Linked DNA regions of Struthio camelus. The protein of the gene in region 2 binds, or shares a complex with, the protein of the main gene of each other region. Links are inferred from orthologs where the notes say so. Each region holds a gene or a part of one and is shown on either strand. Other genes may lie near its edges.

The links.
Region 1: the proteins of TNPO3 (region 2) and CIRBP are in contact, whole or in part, in a crystal structure (PDB 8CMK), measured with the Homo sapiens proteins. The link is inferred for Struthio camelus from reciprocal best matches to the Homo sapiens genes TNPO3 and CIRBP. Residues at the interface, in NP_036602.1 of Homo sapiens: Arg620, Glu660, Arg661, Cys663, Arg664, Arg667, Phe668, Arg671, Ser698, Cys699, Tyr702, Ser705, Ile706, Asp709, Glu710, Asp747, Asp750, Asp751, Arg754, Arg758; in NP_001271.1 of Homo sapiens: Tyr160, Arg161, Ser163, Tyr164, Asp165, Ser166, Tyr167, Ala168.

The regions. Positions count from the first base shown.
Region 1 is NC_090967.1:7,051,578-7,060,705, forward strand, and holds CIRBP (cold-inducible RNA-binding protein), read right to left. Parts: upstream 3,678-9,128; 5' UTR 3,056-3,677; intron 2,295-3,055; 5' UTR 2,289-2,294; coding exon 2,186-2,288; intron 2,104-2,185; coding exon 1,997-2,103; intron 1,772-1,996; coding exon 1,633-1,771; intron 1,547-1,632; coding exon 1,462-1,546; intron 1,337-1,461; coding exon 1,269-1,336; intron 847-1,268; coding exon 830-846; 3' UTR 103-829; downstream 1-102. UniProt on the Homo sapiens protein: Cold-inducible mRNA binding protein that plays a protective role in the genotoxic stress response by stabilizing transcripts of genes involved in cell survival. Acts as a translational activator.
Region 2 is NC_090942.1:1,544,388-1,553,763, reverse strand, and holds the start of TNPO3 (transportin-3), read left to right. Parts: upstream 1-5,528; 5' UTR 5,529-5,726; coding exon 5,727-5,852; intron 5,853-9,376. UniProt on the Homo sapiens protein: Importin, which transports target proteins into the nucleus. Specifically mediates the nuclear import of splicing factor serine/arginine (SR) proteins, such as RBM4, SFRS1 and SFRS2, by recognizing phosphorylated SR domains.

The DNA of each region.
Region 1 (9,128 bases), on a different chromosome or scaffold from region 2:
ATACTATCGCTAATCTTCTCCTCTGGCATCCTCTATTACTTAGTCTGTTCTTCATCTTCAAGGATTGTGTTGTGCAATGAAATGTAAATGTCAGGAGCAGAGTTCATTTCAGACGGTCTTTTAATAGGCTTCGTAAAGCCAAAGAAAACTGTATACAAGAATCCTTTACCACTTCAAATACAATATCAATGGAATATGCATATTTCTTCCAGTAAAAAAGGACAATATAAATAAACATTTTCAAGAACCTCTTTTATGGTAAGTTTGCAAGTCTATTTCTGGGTAATTTACATCATTACAACAGTAAAAATACCGTTATGCAAGTTGAACATACAAGCAAGTTTCTCTTTAGATATATCAAGGTGGTTTGCCTTCCAATTTGTACCCAGGCTGCATTCCTACCTTGCTACACTAAAGGAATGTTACAAAAGACGAAGGTAATGCACTTAAAAAAAAAAAAGTCCACAGCTTGTTCAGCTTCCAGTGAACATTGAATTAAAGGTCCTTTCTATCTCAAAAGAAACTGAATTGGGGCCCCAACTTCACAACTTTAAAAAAACACCTTGGCTCATCATGAAGGATAAAATAAAATCTGAAGTGCTTTCAAAAAAGATTAAAAACACTTGAAAGCAGAGCTTTCTTAAAGAAAAGTCTAATTAGACCATCTTATATCAGAAGCTGTCAGGCTGTGTTTGACAAGATTAGAACTGATAATACTACAAAAGTGAAAATACAAGTAGATGTACTACACAATAACGATTTCAGCGAAGCTCCAAAAATCTTTATAAATACAGCCATTGGAAGGACGATCTTGAGTCAGGAAGGATTTTTACTCGTTGTGTGTAGCTGAGGACAAGAAGCAGGCACAATTGTAAAGGCACTGAAGCATAGACAAGTTCCAGCATTTTACTCCCTTGCATTATTTCAGAAGCTAATGCTAGTTCGCTATGTCTTAAGAGAACTCCCCCACCCTTGATTAAAGTTTGTTAGGGCATCTGAGTTTTGTCTTAGTCTCAAGCTTGAGGAATGTAGTTAAAAACTTGCTTTGCCTTAGATCCAAGCAACTCCTACACATGCATTACAAATTAGAAATTTAAATGGCACAACCACGTCCGAGGCTTGACAGATTGGTTCTTACGGGCAAGAACAAAAATAGTGGTACAGTCCAACTGAGCCTTACAGTATTTCCAGACTTCAGTACAGGGTGAGAAGGTTTAGAGAGTTCCTACAGCAACATACTCGTCATTCCCATTTGAACTAAGACTTACCGTAACTGTCGTAGCTGTCTCTGTAGGATCCTCCTGAAGACCTGTCGCCGTAACCACCTTGACTCCTGCTGTTAAAAATACATTCACATGCATTATATTTGTTCATCTGTTCGTGGAGCCTCTTGACATGTGTCAAACAGGCAGCGGACTTCCAAGCGCTTTGCAAAAGAACCCCTATTTGCGGTGGGTTTACCTGCTATTATAGTAGTCTCTGGAGCCATTATATCCTCCACTTCTGGAATCAAACCTGCTTCCGCCATAGCCTCTGTCTCCACCTCCTTCAACAGATGCAAGGAGTTTATTTTAGCATGCTGAGAGCTACCATTATCCTATCAATAAGTACTGATCTTTTACATACGCTCACCTCTAGAGAAGCCACGGCCCCGACCTCTGCCTCCACGGAAAAAGCCTCTGCCCCCAGAAGACCCCCCTCTGTATCCACGAGATCTGTTCTCTGATGATTTTCCAGCCTGATCAACTCTGATCTGACGTCCATCTACAGACTAAAGTCGAAAGAAAAATAAACCAACTTGGTATTTCAATGTTGAACAACAAGCCTTTCGTTCAGCGTTACAACTAAGGTATAGCCCACTACAGAAGTAAATTAGTTTTCAAGCGCTATGTATGTGTTCCCTCTGAGTTTCTATCATTTCACTGAACAGGAACACGCTTTGCTGGCTCCTCTTATTCCTTGAGAGATCAGGAAAGAAATTCCAAAGTCTCCTTACCTTTCCGTTCATAGCCATCATTGCATCTTTAGCATCGTCTATGTTTTCAAAAGTAACAAAGCCAAAACCTCTGGATCTTTGAGTCTCTCTGTCTTTCACCACAACGACTACAAAGAAAAAAAGAACATGAGCACCCAGGAAATCTAGAAAATTCATGGAAAACATCACAGCTAATTATGATGATCTTACCTTCAGAGATCTGTCCATATTTAGAGAAGACTTGTTCCAATGACTGCTCATTGGTGTCAAAACTCAGACCGCCAACAAAGAGCTTCCCCTCATCGGATGCCATTTTGTCCTGTAAAGTCAACGTACCCACCGTTAAACCAAGAAATATTTCCGCAAGGGCCAAAACATTGGATCAGCAGCCTAGCATTCTTAAACAACGCACGCTCATTCGGTTCAGCGAGCCACCGCTGCAAACCACAAAGGAGCACCCGAACGGAGGACCAAGTGCTTTCTCTTGGAAAAACCGAGCCACATCCAGGTTACGAAGGAGAGCACAGCTACCCACCACATCCGCCCTCACCCGGGGCCAAGCCACCTCCCCGGAGGCGCGCAGAGGGCTCGCCCGGCACGGCGGGCTCCGGCCCTGCCTGCAGCCGCCCGCCCCGCCCCGCGCATGCGCGCCCCGCGGGGCACAGGCGCAGCCTCCCGGCCACCAGGCCCCCCTCCCCGCCCCCGGAGACGCCGCTCCTCCCTCCGCGCTCCGCCCATTTGGCGCAGGCGCGTTGCGACGCCCCTCCTCCCACCCGCCGCCATTTTGCACCGTCGAGGCGAGTCGCCATTTTGTTTCCGAAGGCGCATTTCACCCCTCCCCCTGGTTTCCCCCCCCCAACACAGCGCACACACGCAGCGAGCAACCACAACGCCTTCGCTAGGCTCACTACACAACCTCGAAAGACAGCGGGGCCGCGGGACAGGCGCCCCCCGCCCCAGGCTCCCCCCCGGTAGCAAACCCGCTGCTTCTCGGACGCGTTCCCCTTGACTAAGGCGCTCCAAGCCTCCCCAGCCCAGCCCGGCCCGGCCGCCGCCCGAGCACCCCAGCAGGCTCCTTACCAGTATTCTGGAGCTGAAGGGTCCACACAGCACTTCAAAGTCTCAGCGCGATGTACGCTGAGGCTGGCGGGGCAGCGGCTTATAAACCCCCGCTTTCGGCCCCGCCCCTCTTATGAATATGCAAATACTGCCCCACCGCAAGGCGGGGCGAGTGACGAGACCAAAGCGCTGCCGCCGCTCCGCCACCTGATTGGCCTGGAGCTTATTAATATTCATGAGGCCCGACTGGGGGAGAGGGGAGGAGGGAGTGAAAACAAAAACGCTGCATTCCCCCTCCTTCCCTTACTCCCACGTGGGGGTGGGGCGTGGAGGGCGGCTCTGATTGGTTGGGAGCTCGGAGAACGTTGGCCAGCAGAGCCCCTGTGAGAAGAAACGAAGTGGAGGCAGCTGATTGGCTGGAGGGCGCCCCCGTCGCATTTCCCCCTCCGCCACACCCCCTCGCGGCCCGCACGGGGAGGGGGCGTGGCCGCGCTGCCCCAGTTTCGCGCCCTTCTCAGCAATGCGGCGGCCGCCGCTGCTGCAGACAAAGGGGCCGCCTGAGGGGGCGGCCGCCATCTTGGGCGGCGAGCGCTGCAGCCTGCGCTGCCTCCCGGCGGGGCGCAGCCCGCACCGGGCGGTGCTCACCGGCGGTGGCTCGGCTTTCCCAGTGTGCCCCCACCTCAGGGCCCCTCTCGTGTTCCCTTTGCTGAGGGAGGGCAGCCTGCCCCCCCACCCCCACCCCGCGCAGGCATGGCGGCCTGTTGGCTCTGTGGGATGACGGCAGGATCCGTCGTAGCAGAGCGACCAGGCCGACGCTCGGAGGCCGGGGCGAAGCGCCCCCCTCCCCGAGCCGCTCTCTGGAGAGCGGAGGCCCCTCGGGCAGGCGGCAGAGGAAGGGGCCGCCGCGTCCTCGTCACCCCCAGGCGCGCCGTCCGTCCCCTCGGCGGGCGGCCGCCCTCCGCGTCCTGCCCAAGGGTTACGCCGCGACTTCACCTTCCCCGGCCGGCTCTCGCGGCGTGTGCAGGGTGAATAACGGCTACAGCAAAGCAGCCTCCTCCTCTGAAGCGCGGTCCTGGTGACTCGACACCCCCCGCGCGTACTCCTGAGAGCATGGCACAACTAATTTTAAAAGCCGCCCCATCACCCGTTCCCAAGCATAAATGGTTTTGTGAAGGGGAGGGGAAAAAAAAAGAAAGGATTCTGCTCAGCCCATTTTCCATTGAAACGTCTAAAAGCCCACCCTGGGATTTTTATAAGGTAAGTATATCTCTAGCATTAAAAACTTCCCAGTTCAAACAAGAAGCTGTCCGACACAGGTACACGTTTCTTCAAGAGACTGCATTGCTTTAAAACGCACAGGAAAACACAATTCCCCAGTCTTTCCTAGAAAAGCTACAGTCTTGGCTCAACTATGCCATGATGTAGGATGCTATTTAAAAACGGCCGAGAGGAAAAGACGCAGGAGGAAAACGGCGGCATACGGACAAGAGCTGGAAGAAAACAGGGCTAGGACGGGTCCTGGAGGCCACGTCACCTACCCCTCTACTCGGCAGCAGGATCAGCGCCGTGTAAACTGGATCTGTGAAGTGAGGTGGGGAATTGTACTGCAAAGGAGTCGGTAATTTTGTTTGCAGTTTGCACCAGGAGAAGAGGGTGCGCACATACGCGCACCCCTGCCTCCCTCCCATCGCCTCTCTGGTCCCAGAGCTCAGAGCAGTCTTGGTCGGAACCGCTGTTTAAATAGCATACGGTATTTAAGTCAGGGCTGGGTTTTTTTCCCCCCCCCCAAATAATGCGATTGATTTCCTAACTGAGTGCCGAGACAGGAAGAGTGAAAAGAGCCATAGTGAAATGCAAAGGAGTCTTCTGCCCACTATTGTTATGTGAAAGCAGGGAGTACTCTCCTTCCCTGCCTCTCAGAGTAAGGAAATTGGACTTTTCCTCCCTGATTTGATGTTACCCGTTTTGCGATCTACAGGGAAAAGATTGTTTGTTTTGTACACAAGCAGGTATAGTAATTATGAAATACAGAAGAATCTCAGTATTGCACTCTGCCCTAATCTGTACTGCTGTACACTCAAAAATAGCTGTTTCATTACTCCTCAGCACAGCTTTCATAATGGAACATTGCGGATTTTATGTTATGGTACTAAAGCGTTGGTCGTTTCGCCAAACATACAGCACCAGCAGGGTACAACAGCATGCTCCACCACCGTGCATTACTGGCTACAGCTCAAGTACTAGTAAGCGCATTAAAAATATATATATTGATGAGGCACCAATCTATTACTATTATTACCTTCTTACTGGTAAAACTATGAAAAAATGAACTAATTTTCCAGTCCAGAGAAGAAATTAACAGCATTAATAATACAAATTATTATATATGTTATATATAATCTATTGGTACTTAAGTGTGTCTGAGATGCTTTGCAGTAAAAGGAAAATAAAAGGTTCAGCACTCAAAATATTAGAGCAATAATTAAAAACAAGATGAAGCTGTGAAGGTAGGATAAGATATTGCAATATTTTTTTACCAAAAAAAAAAAATTTTGTTTCCTGATTGGAAGTAGGTATTTTAAACTCAGCGTTTAAAATGTTGAATAAGCCTGGGTTATTTTTTAATTCTACCTAATATTGCATCACACTGTGTGGTCCACCGGTGCACCAGTCATGTCAAAGGACGGGAGAGGCAAGGAGAGAGGACTTGTGTGCCACCTGAGATCGCAAGTCAATTTTTGCCCTTGAAAAAGACAATTCAGCCCTGAGCTTGAATCCCCAGCATGGCATTTTGATTAAATTAGGGACGTATTAACATAAGCATTTCTGGTTCACGATGAGGGCGGGTAAAGTGACCTTGACGCATGGAGCCATTTTGCAAGCGGAGACAGGGAGCGGCGTGAGTGGCGGTAGGACACGGCACGGCTGCCCTGGGGATGCTGAAGGGGAGGAGGCAGCGCTGTAGCTGCTTGCATATTCCTAAGGCCGTCAGTACCGCAAACGTCAAGGGACAAACACGGTTATTTTTAATCGTACTTTTTTCTCCTGCAAAGCCGGTGCGTGTTAAGTGTTTTTAAAATAGTACAGTTAATCTTTTATGTACAGTTTCAATGGAATTTGGGTCCTACCAGGACCAAAGGCTTGTGCAGAGACGCGTAGCTCTGTTCACCGCTGAGCATTGGCCCTCAGGGCCTGATTTGGCTCCTCTAACAGTAAATGGAAAGATCCCAGCTCTCTTCTGCAGCAGCTGGATTGGGCCCCAGAAGCCGAAGACCTGATTCCGGTCTCACTTGGGTGCATTCATGCTTTTCCTTTGAAACCAGTGAAGTTACACTATTAAACAAGGTGAGAAACAGATCAAATCAAGATCTCCTGTGCTGCCTCCACTCGCTTGTCCCAGTTCTGGTGCTCTCAGGAGGCTTCACGTGCTCCAGTTCTGCTTATTCCTCCCTGTCTGATCCAGGGCATTAGAAGCCGCGTGTGTCACTTTAGCTGGTAAACAAGTGGGCTGCAGCGGCCACGTGGCCAGAGCTTTCACCTGTTGGGCACTGTCATGAGTTTGTCCCCGGCACAATGGGCTCCGGGAGGGATTCAGCACAGGAAAATCTCTTGGCGTACCAGAAAAGCACCGCAAAACTACAGCTGAAACCAGCGCGGGCAGTGTATGCCAGTCAATAACTGTCCCGGCTGATTTCACGTGTTGTTATGGCAGTAATTAGGCAATGAAGCATAACAGACGTGATACATGTCACCAGAGGTAACCTTTCTGTAGCAATGACTGACATTTGCACAACTCCTGACCTGAGGATCCCAAAACTCTCGACAAGGTAAAGCAAGAAAACGGTGCTCAGCGTTAACTTTTGCGCTGTTTCTGCCTGTGGGTTAGATGCTCAAGTAGCCCCTGCACAAATTTCAGGACAGAGCATGAGTTCATTTGTTTTATCCAGCTGAGGCACATTTTCAATCACCTTTCGGTCGCCCGACAAGAAAGAACTGTAGTTAAAGTGACCTGATGCGGTGGAAGTGCTGTTGCGTCTTCCGCAGCTGCAAATAGCTGCCTTGACCTGTAGGCTCTCCGAAGCAGAGGCCATCTCTCCATGTGTTCATGTGGCTCTTAGCACAATGCTGCGCTCCTCTGGACTGTGGACTTCAGTGTCTGATAACTGTTAAATCATAAATCACAAGAAGCTGGAGGGATCTCAGGGACCAGTCTTGTCTGTTGGCTCAAGCAACCCCATTCCTGGCAGATATTTGTCTCACCCATTTCTTTAAAACCTCCGGTGACAGAGATTATTGTAGCATATAAAATGATAGTACTTACGTCCTAAAAGAGTCTCCTTCCAGCAGCACAGCAGCTTTTAGTGCCACATGCAGGGAGCATCGATAGAGGAGTGCTAAAAAGCCTACTGTAACGTCCTTGTCTCAGTCACGGTTTCCAAATCTAGTACTCAGCACCCCCCCTGGCCTCCAAGGGACCTTTGCAGGATGGATGCAAACAGCTGGATTTCTTCGAGGGACCTCCGCTAGGCAACATTTATTACCTGTATTTGTAGGGGCCTTTCTCCAGTCCTTTAAGGCTGGCCTCACCCTGTAATCACAGCCATTTTCCACGGGATAGAGCAGTTTGGCATCTGCCCAGAGCCACACAGCAACCAAGCACAAACTTGCTGCGCAGCCCGCCTGCTCCCGTAGCCTGCGCCCAGAGCCAGGGGCAGAGCGGGAGAAGCGTCTGCCCCAGGCGCCGCTGTGATCAGCTTTCCAAACCGGAGAGAACAGACCCGAATTCCTCCGGGAGCTGCTGACGCCGGCCTCGGGCGAGGGCTGGGGAAAGGCGCTCCCAGGAGGGACGCGGGGAAGAAAGGGGGCGAGGAGGAGCACGGGGACGGCTGGCAGAGGCCGACCGGGCACCAAAACGCCTGGCTGTGGCTCTGATGGTATCACCGCCTGCTTCTCCGCGCTCCGACTCGCACAAGCCCTGCGACGGCAGGACTGGAAAGGGGACAAAAATACCCACGTCGCCTGGGCTCGCGCTGCGCTCAGAAAAGCGCTGGGGACCCCGCTTCCCGCGGAGGCAGCGGGCAGGGGCACAGCTGGAGGGGGCGGAGGAGGCGGGCACAGCTGTCCGGCACCAACCCCGGCGGCGGCGCGGCCGAGGAGCCTCCTTCCGTCTCTTTGTTTTCGCTGGGATTGCAGGGAAAGAGGGAATGCGAGGCTGGATTGAACCGGGGTCCGTCCCCCCCCCCGGGCCTTCATCCTGCCCCTCACCAAAGCCACGGGCAGAATCATCTTTTGCATAGCGGGGACGCGTCCTTGCTGACCTCCGCTGGCCGAGGGCTCGCGTACGCCTGGCGGCAGGAAGCCTTCGGGGCTGCCTGCAGCTGTGGTGGAAGCAGGGGGAGCAGGCAGAGCCGTCCTCTGCGCGGCAGGATCTCTCGCCCGCCCCGCGCCCCCTGCGCGGCCGCTCACGGCGCCGGCCCTGGGCTCAGCATCCACGTCCCCTCGGTTCTGAATCCTGGAACTGGCAGCCCCTAAGCCCACAGGCGAAAATATTCCCTTCTCTCTCGCTACTTTCCCTAAGGGAGTTGCTTATCCAGCTTTGCAGTTTGAAAAACCCTGACGCAATCATGCTGTTGCCATGGCAAGAAACGTTGCTGCTGCATTTTCCTCTGCGATTTACCGTGACTGGGGTTTACTAAGTTATAGGACAAAGCAATAACGAATGAAGGAATCGGATCCACAGCAAGGCTTGCAAGAAGCTGCAAGAAATCTGGGTTGGCACGCGTTGCCAAAAGGCAAGAAGGGAGGGTTTTTTTACAGCAGCGTAGGGCATACCCAAACCTGAGCACCGGGAAACGAGCGGGCTTCAGTGCACCCTGGGGCCAGCGCAGCTCCCTCGCAGGAGGGTCGGTCACTGCACACCCGAGAGCGGGCAACGGAGCGGGCCGCGGGCAGGGGTCCGCCAGCCGCTCGGCGGGGCGCTGCGGGACGCGACGGCATCGCCGCCGCGAGTTACAGCCCTGCCTGCTGCTGGCCGGGAGCTCAGCAGCCGCGAGCGGGCGGTGGGGAACGCTGACCCCGGGCCAAGGGGCTGAAG
Region 2 (9,376 bases):
CTGCCCGTGGGACACTGCTGCTCCCTGGGGTGCTTCTCCCCATGGGACACCGCTGCCCGTGGGACACTGCTGCTCAGGGGGTGCTTCTCCCCATGGGACACCACTGCCCGTGGGACGCTGCTGCTCAGGGGGTGCTTCTCCCCATGGGACACCGCTGCCCGTGGGACACTGCTGCTCAGGGGGTGCTTCTCCCCATGGGACACCACTGCCCGTGGGACGCTGCTGCTCAGGGGGTGCTTCTCCCCATGGGACACCACTGCCCGTGGGACACTGCTGCTCCCTGGGGTGCTTCTCCCCATGGGACACCGCTGCCCGTGGGACACTGCTGCTCCCTGGGGTGCTTCTCCCCATGGGACACCACTGCCCGTGGGACGCTGCTGCTCCCTGGGGTGCTTCTCCCCATGGGACACCACTGCCCGTGGGACACTGCTGCTCCCTGGGGTGCTTCTCCCCATGGGACACCGCTGCCCGTGGGACACTGCTGCTCAGGGGGTGCTTCTCCCCATGGGACACCGCTGCCCGTGGGACACTGCTGCTCAGGGGGTGCTTCTCCCCATGGGACACCACTGCCCGTGGGACGCTGCTGCTCCCTGGGGTGCTTCTCCCCATGGGACACCACTGCCCGTGGGACGCTGCTGCTCCCTGGGGTGCTTCTCCCCATGGGACACCACTGCCCGTGGGACGCTGCTGCTCCCTGGGGTGCTTCTCCCCATGGGACACCTCTGCCCGTGGGACGCTGCTGCTCAGGGGGTGCTTCTCCCCATGGGACGCCACTGCCCATAGGACGCTGCTGCTCAGGGGGTGCTTCTCCCCATGGGACACCACTGCCCGTGGGACACTGCTGCTCCCTGGGGTGCTTCTCCCCATGGGACACCACTGCCCGTGGGACGCTGCTGCTCCCTGGGGTGCTTCTCCCCATGGGACACCTCTGCCCGTGGGACGCTGCTGCTCAGGGGGTGCTTCTCCCCATGGGACGCCACTGCCCATAGGACGCTGCTGCTCAGGGGGTGCTTCTCCCCATGGGACACCACTGCCCGTGGGACACTGCTGCTCCCTGGGGTGCTTCTCCCCATGGGACACCACTGCCCGTGGGACACTGCTGCTCGGGGGGTGCTTCTCCCCATGGGACGCCACTGCCCATAGGACGCTGCTGCTCAGGGGGTGCTTCTCCCCATGGGATGCTGCTGCCCGTGGGACATTGCTGAGCTGCTGCCACCTGCAGGAGGTGACATCACTGTGCCGTCCCCATCACAGGCACCATGAGTGGTGCCTGGCTGAGGTGGGCTGGGGCTGAGCGAGAGGAGAGCAGCCCCGCGTCCCGGCTCCTCGCTGTGGCACCTTGGCTCCCGCAGGACACCCAATGTTGCCAGCAGCACGCCCTTCCCTTGCTGAGGGCACCTGGGGACACGTGGTGGGGCTGCAGATGGGGACACGGATGGGGGTGGACATGGGGATGGAGATAGGTACAGGGATGGGGATGCAGACTTGGATGGAGCATGGAGGGAAGGACAGGGACGCATCCTGCCCCTCTGTGGGGCTGGGCCGCCATGGGCTGGTCCCTGCCGTGGGTCTCCAGCACCGAGGGAACAGCAGCGCTAGCTAAGGCCCAAATGACCCCGGCGACGTCATCAGAAAGGCCAGAAAAGGCCCCAGCGCCCTCAGGAACGCTATCAGCAACAGCAGGAAGGGTCAAAGCTCCCTGGGGAGCCAGGCTGGGAATGCCAGCCCTAAACCCCTGCCATCTCCCTCATCCCTGCCCCGGACCCCTGCCCTGGACCCTGCCCCAGACCCCCCCCAGTCCCCTCATCCCTGCCCCAGACACCCCAGTTCCCCCCCCAACACCCCCATCCCTGACCTGGACCCCCCCAAATGCCACGAGCCCTGCCCTGGCCACACGGGTGCCATGAGTGCAGCGGGGCAAGAGGTGCGGGTTGAACGTCCCTCTCCTGCAGCCCCTTGGCGTCCGCACCTGGGAGGACACTGAGCCGGGTCGGGGGCACCGGTGGGGACGGGAGCGGACCAGGCTGGTGGGGGGTCCCTTATATACCTGTAGCAATGGGTGGTGCTGCACGGGGTCCCCTATGCACCTATAGCAGTGGAGGGATTGATGTGAGGGGTCCCCTATATGGGGCCATGCCACGCTGGGATCCCTCAAGCTGCCCCTTCCCCGAGGCCGGGCCGAGCCTGGCGTCCCCCATGCCCTGAGCCCTGGGCCAAAGCCCCAGGCAGGAGTCATTTGGGGAAGCGGAGGATGTGGTGGGCCATGTTGGAGGTCCTAACCGCGTGCCTGGCCGTGCGCCTGGCGGCCGGAAAGTCCCCCCATGACCGCTTCTCTGCCCTGGCTCAAGCCAGGCGCCGGGGCCCTGGGCGCCTGCGGCAGCATCGCCGGGCTGCTCCGGCCTGGACCCCGGGGCCGCGGGAGGTCCAGGTCCTGACGAGACGCAACAGGTCAGTCTGGGAGAGGTAGTGGTGGTTGTTCAACTTATTCATCCATGACCTGGAGGAAGGGACAGAGTGCCCCCTCAGCAAGGTTGCCGATGATACTAAACTGGGAGGAGTGGCTGACACACCAGAAGGCTGTGCTGCCATTCAGGGGGACGTGGACAGGCTGGAGAGTTGGGTGGAGAGGAACCTCATGCAGTTCCACAAAGGCAAGTGCAGGCTCCTGCCCCTGGGGAGGAAGAACCCCAGGCACCAGGACAGGCTGGGGGTTGACCTGCTGGAGAGCAGCTCTGCCGAGAGGGACCTGGGAGTGCTGGTGGACAACAAATTGACCACGAGCCAGCAGTGTGCCCTTGTGGCCAAGAAGGCCAATGGTCTCCTGGGGTGGGTGCATTGAGTGTTGCCAGCAGGTGGAGGGAGGTGATCCTCCCCCTCTACTCAGCCCTGCTGAGGCCACATCTGCAGTACTGTGTCCAACTGTGGGCTCCCCGGTACAGGAGAGACATGGCACTACTGGAGAGAGTCCAGCAGAGGGCTACAAAGCTGAGTAGGGGACTGGAGCATCTCTCCTGTGAAGAAAGGCTGAAGAAACTGGGCCTGTACAGCCTGGAGAAGACTGAGAAGGGAACTCATCAATGCCTACAAGTATCTGAAGGGAGGGTGTCAAGAGAGGATGGGGCCACTCTCTTCTCTGTGGTGCCCAGTGACAGGACAAGAGGCAACGGGCACAAACTGAAACACAAGAAGTTCCATCTGAACAGGAGGAAAAACTTCTTTACTGTGAGGGTGACAGAGCACTGGAAAAGGTTGCCCAGAGAGGAGTCTCCTTCCCTGGAGATATTCAAAACCTACCTGAATGCGCTCCTGGGAAATATGCTCTAGAGGATCCTGCTTGAGCACGGGGGGTTGGACTAGATGATCTCCAGAGGTCCCTTCCAACCTCAACCCTTCTGTGATTTTGTGTGATGCTGTGAACCCTCTGCCCTCCAGCATGGGGTCTGGTCCCCCATCGCTTCCCTCTCGCGTTAGGGCTGGGTCAGGAGCCCCCCCTGCCCTGTGCCCTGTGCCAGCACCCAGCTCCCCGGGGCTGCTGCTGGTGGGACACCACCACCCACGGGACACCACGGCCCGTGGGACACTGCTGCTCCCTGGGGTGCTTCTCCCCATGGGACACCACGGCCCGTGGGACACTGCTGCTCCCTGGGGTGCTTCTCCCCATGGGACACCTCTGCCTGTGGGACGCTGCTGCCTGTAGGAATGGCAGGCCTGAACCCCTGCCATCTCCCCCATCCCCCCCCCCAGTCCCCTCGTCCCTACCCCAGACACCCCGACCCCACATCCATGCCCTAGATCCCCACCAACACCCCCATCCCTGACCCGGACACCCCCCCAATTCCCTCATCCCTGCCATGGCCACGCAGGTGCAATGGGTGCGGTGGGGCAAGAGGTGCCAGTTGAACGTCCCTCTCCTGCGGCCCCTTGGTGCCCACAACTGGGACGACACTGGCCAGGCTGGTGGGACCGAGGGTGACGGGAGCGGAGCGGGCCGGGCAGGGGTCACCGGGGGGGGGGGGGGACGGGAGGGGACCAGACCGGGGTGGGGGTACTGGGGGGGGATGGGAGGGGACCAGACCGGGGTGGGGGTACTGGGGGGGGATGGGAGGGGACCAGACCGGGGGCACCGGGGGGGCACAGGAGGGAAACAGTCTGGGCCGGGGGCACCGGGGGGGGGACAGGAGTGGGCCGGGACGGGGGGACGGGAGGGGACCAGACCGGGCCGGGCCAGGGGCACCAGGGGGGACGGGAGGGGACCGGGCCAGGGGCACCGGGGGGGACGGGAGGGGACCAGACCGGGCCGGGCCAGGGGCACCAGGGGGGACGGGAGGGGACCGGGCCAGGGGCACCGGGGGGGACGGGAGGGGACCAGACCGGGCCGGGCCAGGGGCACCAGGGGGGACGGGAGGGGACCGGGCGGGGGGCACCGGGGGGGGACGGGAGGGGACCGGACTGGGCCGGGCGGGGGGAACTGGGGGGGACGGGAGGGGACCGGGCCGGGGGCACCGGGGGGGACGGGAGGGGACCAGTCTGGGCCGGGGGCACCGGGGGGGACGGGAGGGGACCGGGCCGGGGGCACCGGGGGGGGACAGGAGCGGGCCGAGCTGGGGGGAACGGAGGGGACCGGGCCGGGGGCACCGGGGGGGGACGGGAGGGGACCAGACCGGGCCGGGCCGGAGGCACCGGGGGGGATGGGAGGGGACCGGGCCAGGGGCACCGGGGGGGACGGGAGGGGACCAGACTGGGCCGGGGGCACCGGGGGGGACGGGAGGGGACCAGACCGGGCCGGGCCGGAGGCACCGGGGGGGATGGGAGGGGACCGGGCCAGGGGCACCGGGGGGGACGGGAGGGGACCAGACTGGGCCGGGGGCACCGGGGGGGACGGGAGGGGACCAGACCGGGCCGGGCCGGAGGCACCGGGGGGGATGGGAGGGGACCGGGCCAGGGGCACCGGGGGGGACGGGAGGGGACCAGACCGGGCCGGGGGCACCAGGGGGGACGGGAGGGGACTGGGCCGGGGGCACCGGGGGGGACGGGAGGGGACCGGGCCGGGCCAGGGGCACCGGGGGGGACGGGAGGGGACCGGGCCGGGGGCACCAGGGGGGACGGGAGGGGACCAGACCGGGCCGGGCCGGAGGCACCGGGGGGGACGGGAGGGGACCGGGCCAGGGGCACCAGGGGGGACGGGAGGGGACCAGGCCGGGCCAGGGGCACCGGGGGGGGGCGGGAGGGGGACAGACCGGACGGGGCCGGGGGCACCGGGGGGGGGGAGCGGGAGGGGGCCGGACGGGACCGGGCCGGGGGCACCGGGGACCACGGTCCACACGGGGTTCAGGGCCGGGCTGGCGGCCGGGCCCAGACCGCGCGCACAATGGCGGCCGGGGCGGGTCCCGGAAGCGCCGCCGCCGGGGGGGGGTGGAGGGGGGCGGCCCGTCTCTTCCCGCCGCCGCCGTGCCGGCCGGGCCGCTTTGGGCGGCGCACGCGGCGGAAGCGCGGCGCGGCGGTTCCGGGCGGCGCGAGCGGGCGGTGGCAGCGGGCGGGAGGGAGGGAGGGAGCGGGGTTGGCCGGACCGGAAGCGGAACGCGCGGCTCGGCGCGTGTTTCCGGCGGGGGCCGCGCTCGGCGTGGCACCGCCCCGTCCCGGTAACGGACGGCGCAGGGCGAGGAGATGGCGGCGGGCGGCAGCGGCCGGCGGCCCTGAGCGGCGGCGGCGGCAGCATCGGCAGCGCCATGGAGGGCGGCGGGGGCAAGCCGAGCCTGCAGGTGGTGTACCAGGCCGTGCAGGCCCTCTACCACGACCCCGACCCCAGCGGCAAGGAGCGGGCGAGCTGCTGGCTGGGCGAGCTCCAGCGATCGGTGAGGCCTGCTCCGGTGGAGCACGTTTCGGGCGGGGGGCAGGACCGGTTTTGGGGGCGGGGGGGGGGAAGTGTGTGGAGAGCTCAGTAGGCCTCGCCCCAGGCCGCGGCCTGGCCTCGCTGCTCGCCTGCCCCGGCGGCTGTCGGCGTTGTGCCCCGGTCCCCTCCGCTCTTGCCCACCGCGTCGCCGGTCCCGCTCGCCGCGGCCTGTCGGCGTGAGAGCGGGAGTTTGGTCGACGTCCGGCGGCGCGGAGCTGGCTGGCGGGCAGCCCCTCCGCAGCTGCTCGGCGACCTGGCTTGTCTTCGTGGCTTCACCCGAAGCAGCGAGGTGGTGTTTTGTTATCGTTACCGCTCTCCAAGTCCGCTCTGGGGAGCGCAAAGGCCTGGCTTTTGTCGCGGTCTGCCCGCGCTGAGGCTCCTTGACCAGAACAGGAAAGACAGGCTGCCTTATTTGGCACAGCCTCTGTGGTAGCTGAGGAGCAGGAAATGGTTGAGGGAAACGTTGTGAAAGGTATTGGACGGGCCCACAACCCCTCCTCTCGCCGGGCGTGATGGACCCCACGGGCACCCCCGCTCTGCCCGCTGCTCCCGGCCTGCCCACGGCCGAGAGAGCTGAGGCTTCCCCTGGAAAACAGTCGAAGTCGTGCTCTAGCTTACGGTGAACCAGAGGAGTGGAAGCACTGCTGCTCGCTTCTGAAACCCTGAAGTGATTGATGTCAAGTTCTGTCCTGCTGGACTTTAGCCTCAAGACTAAATTTAGAAATTGATGTATGTTTTTTGGCCTAGCCGTACTTCAGGGCATTCTCTTGCTGAAAACATATTTGTTCGCTCTTGGTTGTAAGGCTGGGAGTGACTTCATTTTTTTTTTTTTCCCCTAAAGCCTATTGTTTCTCCTTGTTGTCTTTTGTATCGGTATGGCTCTCAGCTATGTAGAGCGGAGCATAGAGCGGGCGTCCTTTGTGTCGCTGATGTCTAGTTTTCCTCCTCTGCCGTCCACACGTCCCCTCTACCCCCGCCCCTCCCGCCAGAAATCTTTGGAGGCTGCTTGTGTTTTCCGAGGAGAAGCAGTGAATCCTGAATTCTGATCAGTTTTGTCTAGCATGCTGGGACCTCTTGAAGAGCAAGACTTCTGCCCCCTGCACTGGTCTGCTTGTCTCAAAGCCTGAATGCTGTGAAGGACAGCAGAAAATTCTCCTCTGCTTCCTCGAGTGTCTTCCCAAGCAAGTTTTACAGAGCTCTGTTCAGCTTCCTCACTTTGTAGGAGATAAGTAGTGACTGTGGAATTAATCTGCTAGATAAATGTTGCTGCTCTGAACTTCTCATTGGCTAGTACCTCTTTACAGCATTCATTACAACAAACTCATGTTTTCTTCCTTAATTTACTTGAGCTGAATAGAGTTGGATTCCTAATTATCGTAAGAGTCTATAGTAGTATTTACTTCTGCAACTATTCTGGTAAGTTTGGGAAAAATCCAGTTATAAAGATTAATCAAGTCTATGTATATTTGGATGGTATCTTTTCCTGAAAAAGCGGTCTTCACCATTTGGAAAGTACGTGGGGTGGGTGTGCAAGGAGAACAACTAAACTTACATGAATTTGCCAAGTGTTGAGTGCCAACACACAGCAGACACACAGCAGTTCTTCTGATCGGTTTGAGACGTGGAGCAGAGCCCCCCTGGACCCTGTCGCCTTGCTGGGCTGTACCCTCACACCAGCATTTAAGGTAACTTGATGAACGTTAGGGGTTTGGTTGTGGCCGCGTGAAGATCTTGTTTCAGTTTATTTCCAGAGCGGTGTCTCTCTTGCCCAGTCTGTGACTTTGTTGTGAGGTTACTCCTGTTTCAGAAACTAAATTTGTAATCGCGGCATGAGATTCTCCTTTTTTGTCACGTGAGGCCTCCTAAACCGCTGAATCCCTACCTGAGAAGGCCAAAGGCAAACTAAAGACTCCAGCTTTTATTCTATATTAGAGTTGAAAGAGAGTAAACTGTGCTGCAATTATTGCAGATCTATTTCTGGAACAGATAACGCTTTTGCTATGTGCCTAGATGAATTCCTGATCAGCCTTTGGGGCAGAGAGGGAAATCTAGAGCCAGCTGGTGATGCGACAGGACAAAGAAGTGGATAGCGTCCTGCTTTCAAGGTAACTTGCTGAACATCAAGACTGCAGTCTGAAGCGGTTACTTCTGCGTTAGGAGCAGAGGGCCCCCCCGACGGCATTGTAGGGCCTGTGAGCCGTGCTTGAGACACACTGCCCCATCAAGAGGAGCGGTGGAAGCATTTGGGTCTTAATTTTTAAAAAAACCTGGCCTCCCACGAGGATGGGGTTTCTCATTCGTCTCTGTCCCTGTGGAAAGCCTTGTGGTCTGTTTTGCTCAGCTGTGGTTGCTTTGGACGCTTATCTGTGTTTTCCAGATCGTTTTGTAAACTAAATCAAAAGCGTGCTTATTTAATTTAAGCCTTTGTTGCCTTCTGCTCCTTGAACGCTTCTTTCTGCGCTGGCTGCTCCCTTTAACTAACTTGCCGTCGTACAAATAATCTCTAGTGACTGAACAGACAATTCCTCTGCGAAGCTGCTTTTGTCCTGTGGCGCAGATAAGTGTGCGTGAAGTACCTCAGCAGTCTGGCCAGAAGACAAAGGGGATCCCTTTGCTTTTTAGAGGGAAGTAACTTCTTTATCTTTTCTCAAGAGAAATGCCTTCAGAAACCTCCTTTCAGCTCTGGACTGGCTCTTTCATGTATGCAAGTGCGTTTTAAACTCAAGCAGCAAGCTAGCCTGTCTCCATGTTAACAGTGTTTCTGGTTCTCGCTTCTTATTTATACTTATTTGACCTGATGCTTTGAGAGATTCACTTGCAGAGTTTAGTGACACGTTTTAAGGAGCAATCCCGCTTCCCTCTCAGATCTTTGGGAAAGGAACGGACGCTCTGGAGTGCAACTTAAAATCATTCAGAATACATAACTTATTTAAATTGTTCTTTACTAAATTTATTTCAACTTTCAGACGTAAGCCAGAGAAAGAGGAGCGTTTTTTTTTAGAAAGATGAGCATTTCTGTTAGACGGACCATCATAGCAGGTACCGGATTTGGCTTGCCCAAGGCCTAGAGGCAGTCCAGCCCCTCTGTTCTTGTTCAGAGAAGGTAATAACAGCTTCAGAGAAGTGATGTTGTAGGCTAATTCCGTAGTAACGGTGTCGCAGCTTTCTCCATCGGCCTCTGCGAGGCAGGCTGGAGTGAGCAGACATAGTGTGCTGGCTGCCTCGTGGTATCGGGGGGGGGGGTGATCTTACCCCACGGTAAGTGGGAGGCAACATGACAGCTCTGACGAAGGGGCGGGCGACCCCCCCCCCCCGTAGTGTTATACCACTTGGTAGTATTATACCACTTCTTAGCAGCTTCTTTCTGCAGGCATGAAGTTGTCTGATACGTGTGCCTAAGCGAAGCCTTGTGGTATTAGGAATAGAAGTATTTTGTGGAATTGAAGGACTGAGTCATAGATGTAAAGTTGCAGGTAGCTGATGGCT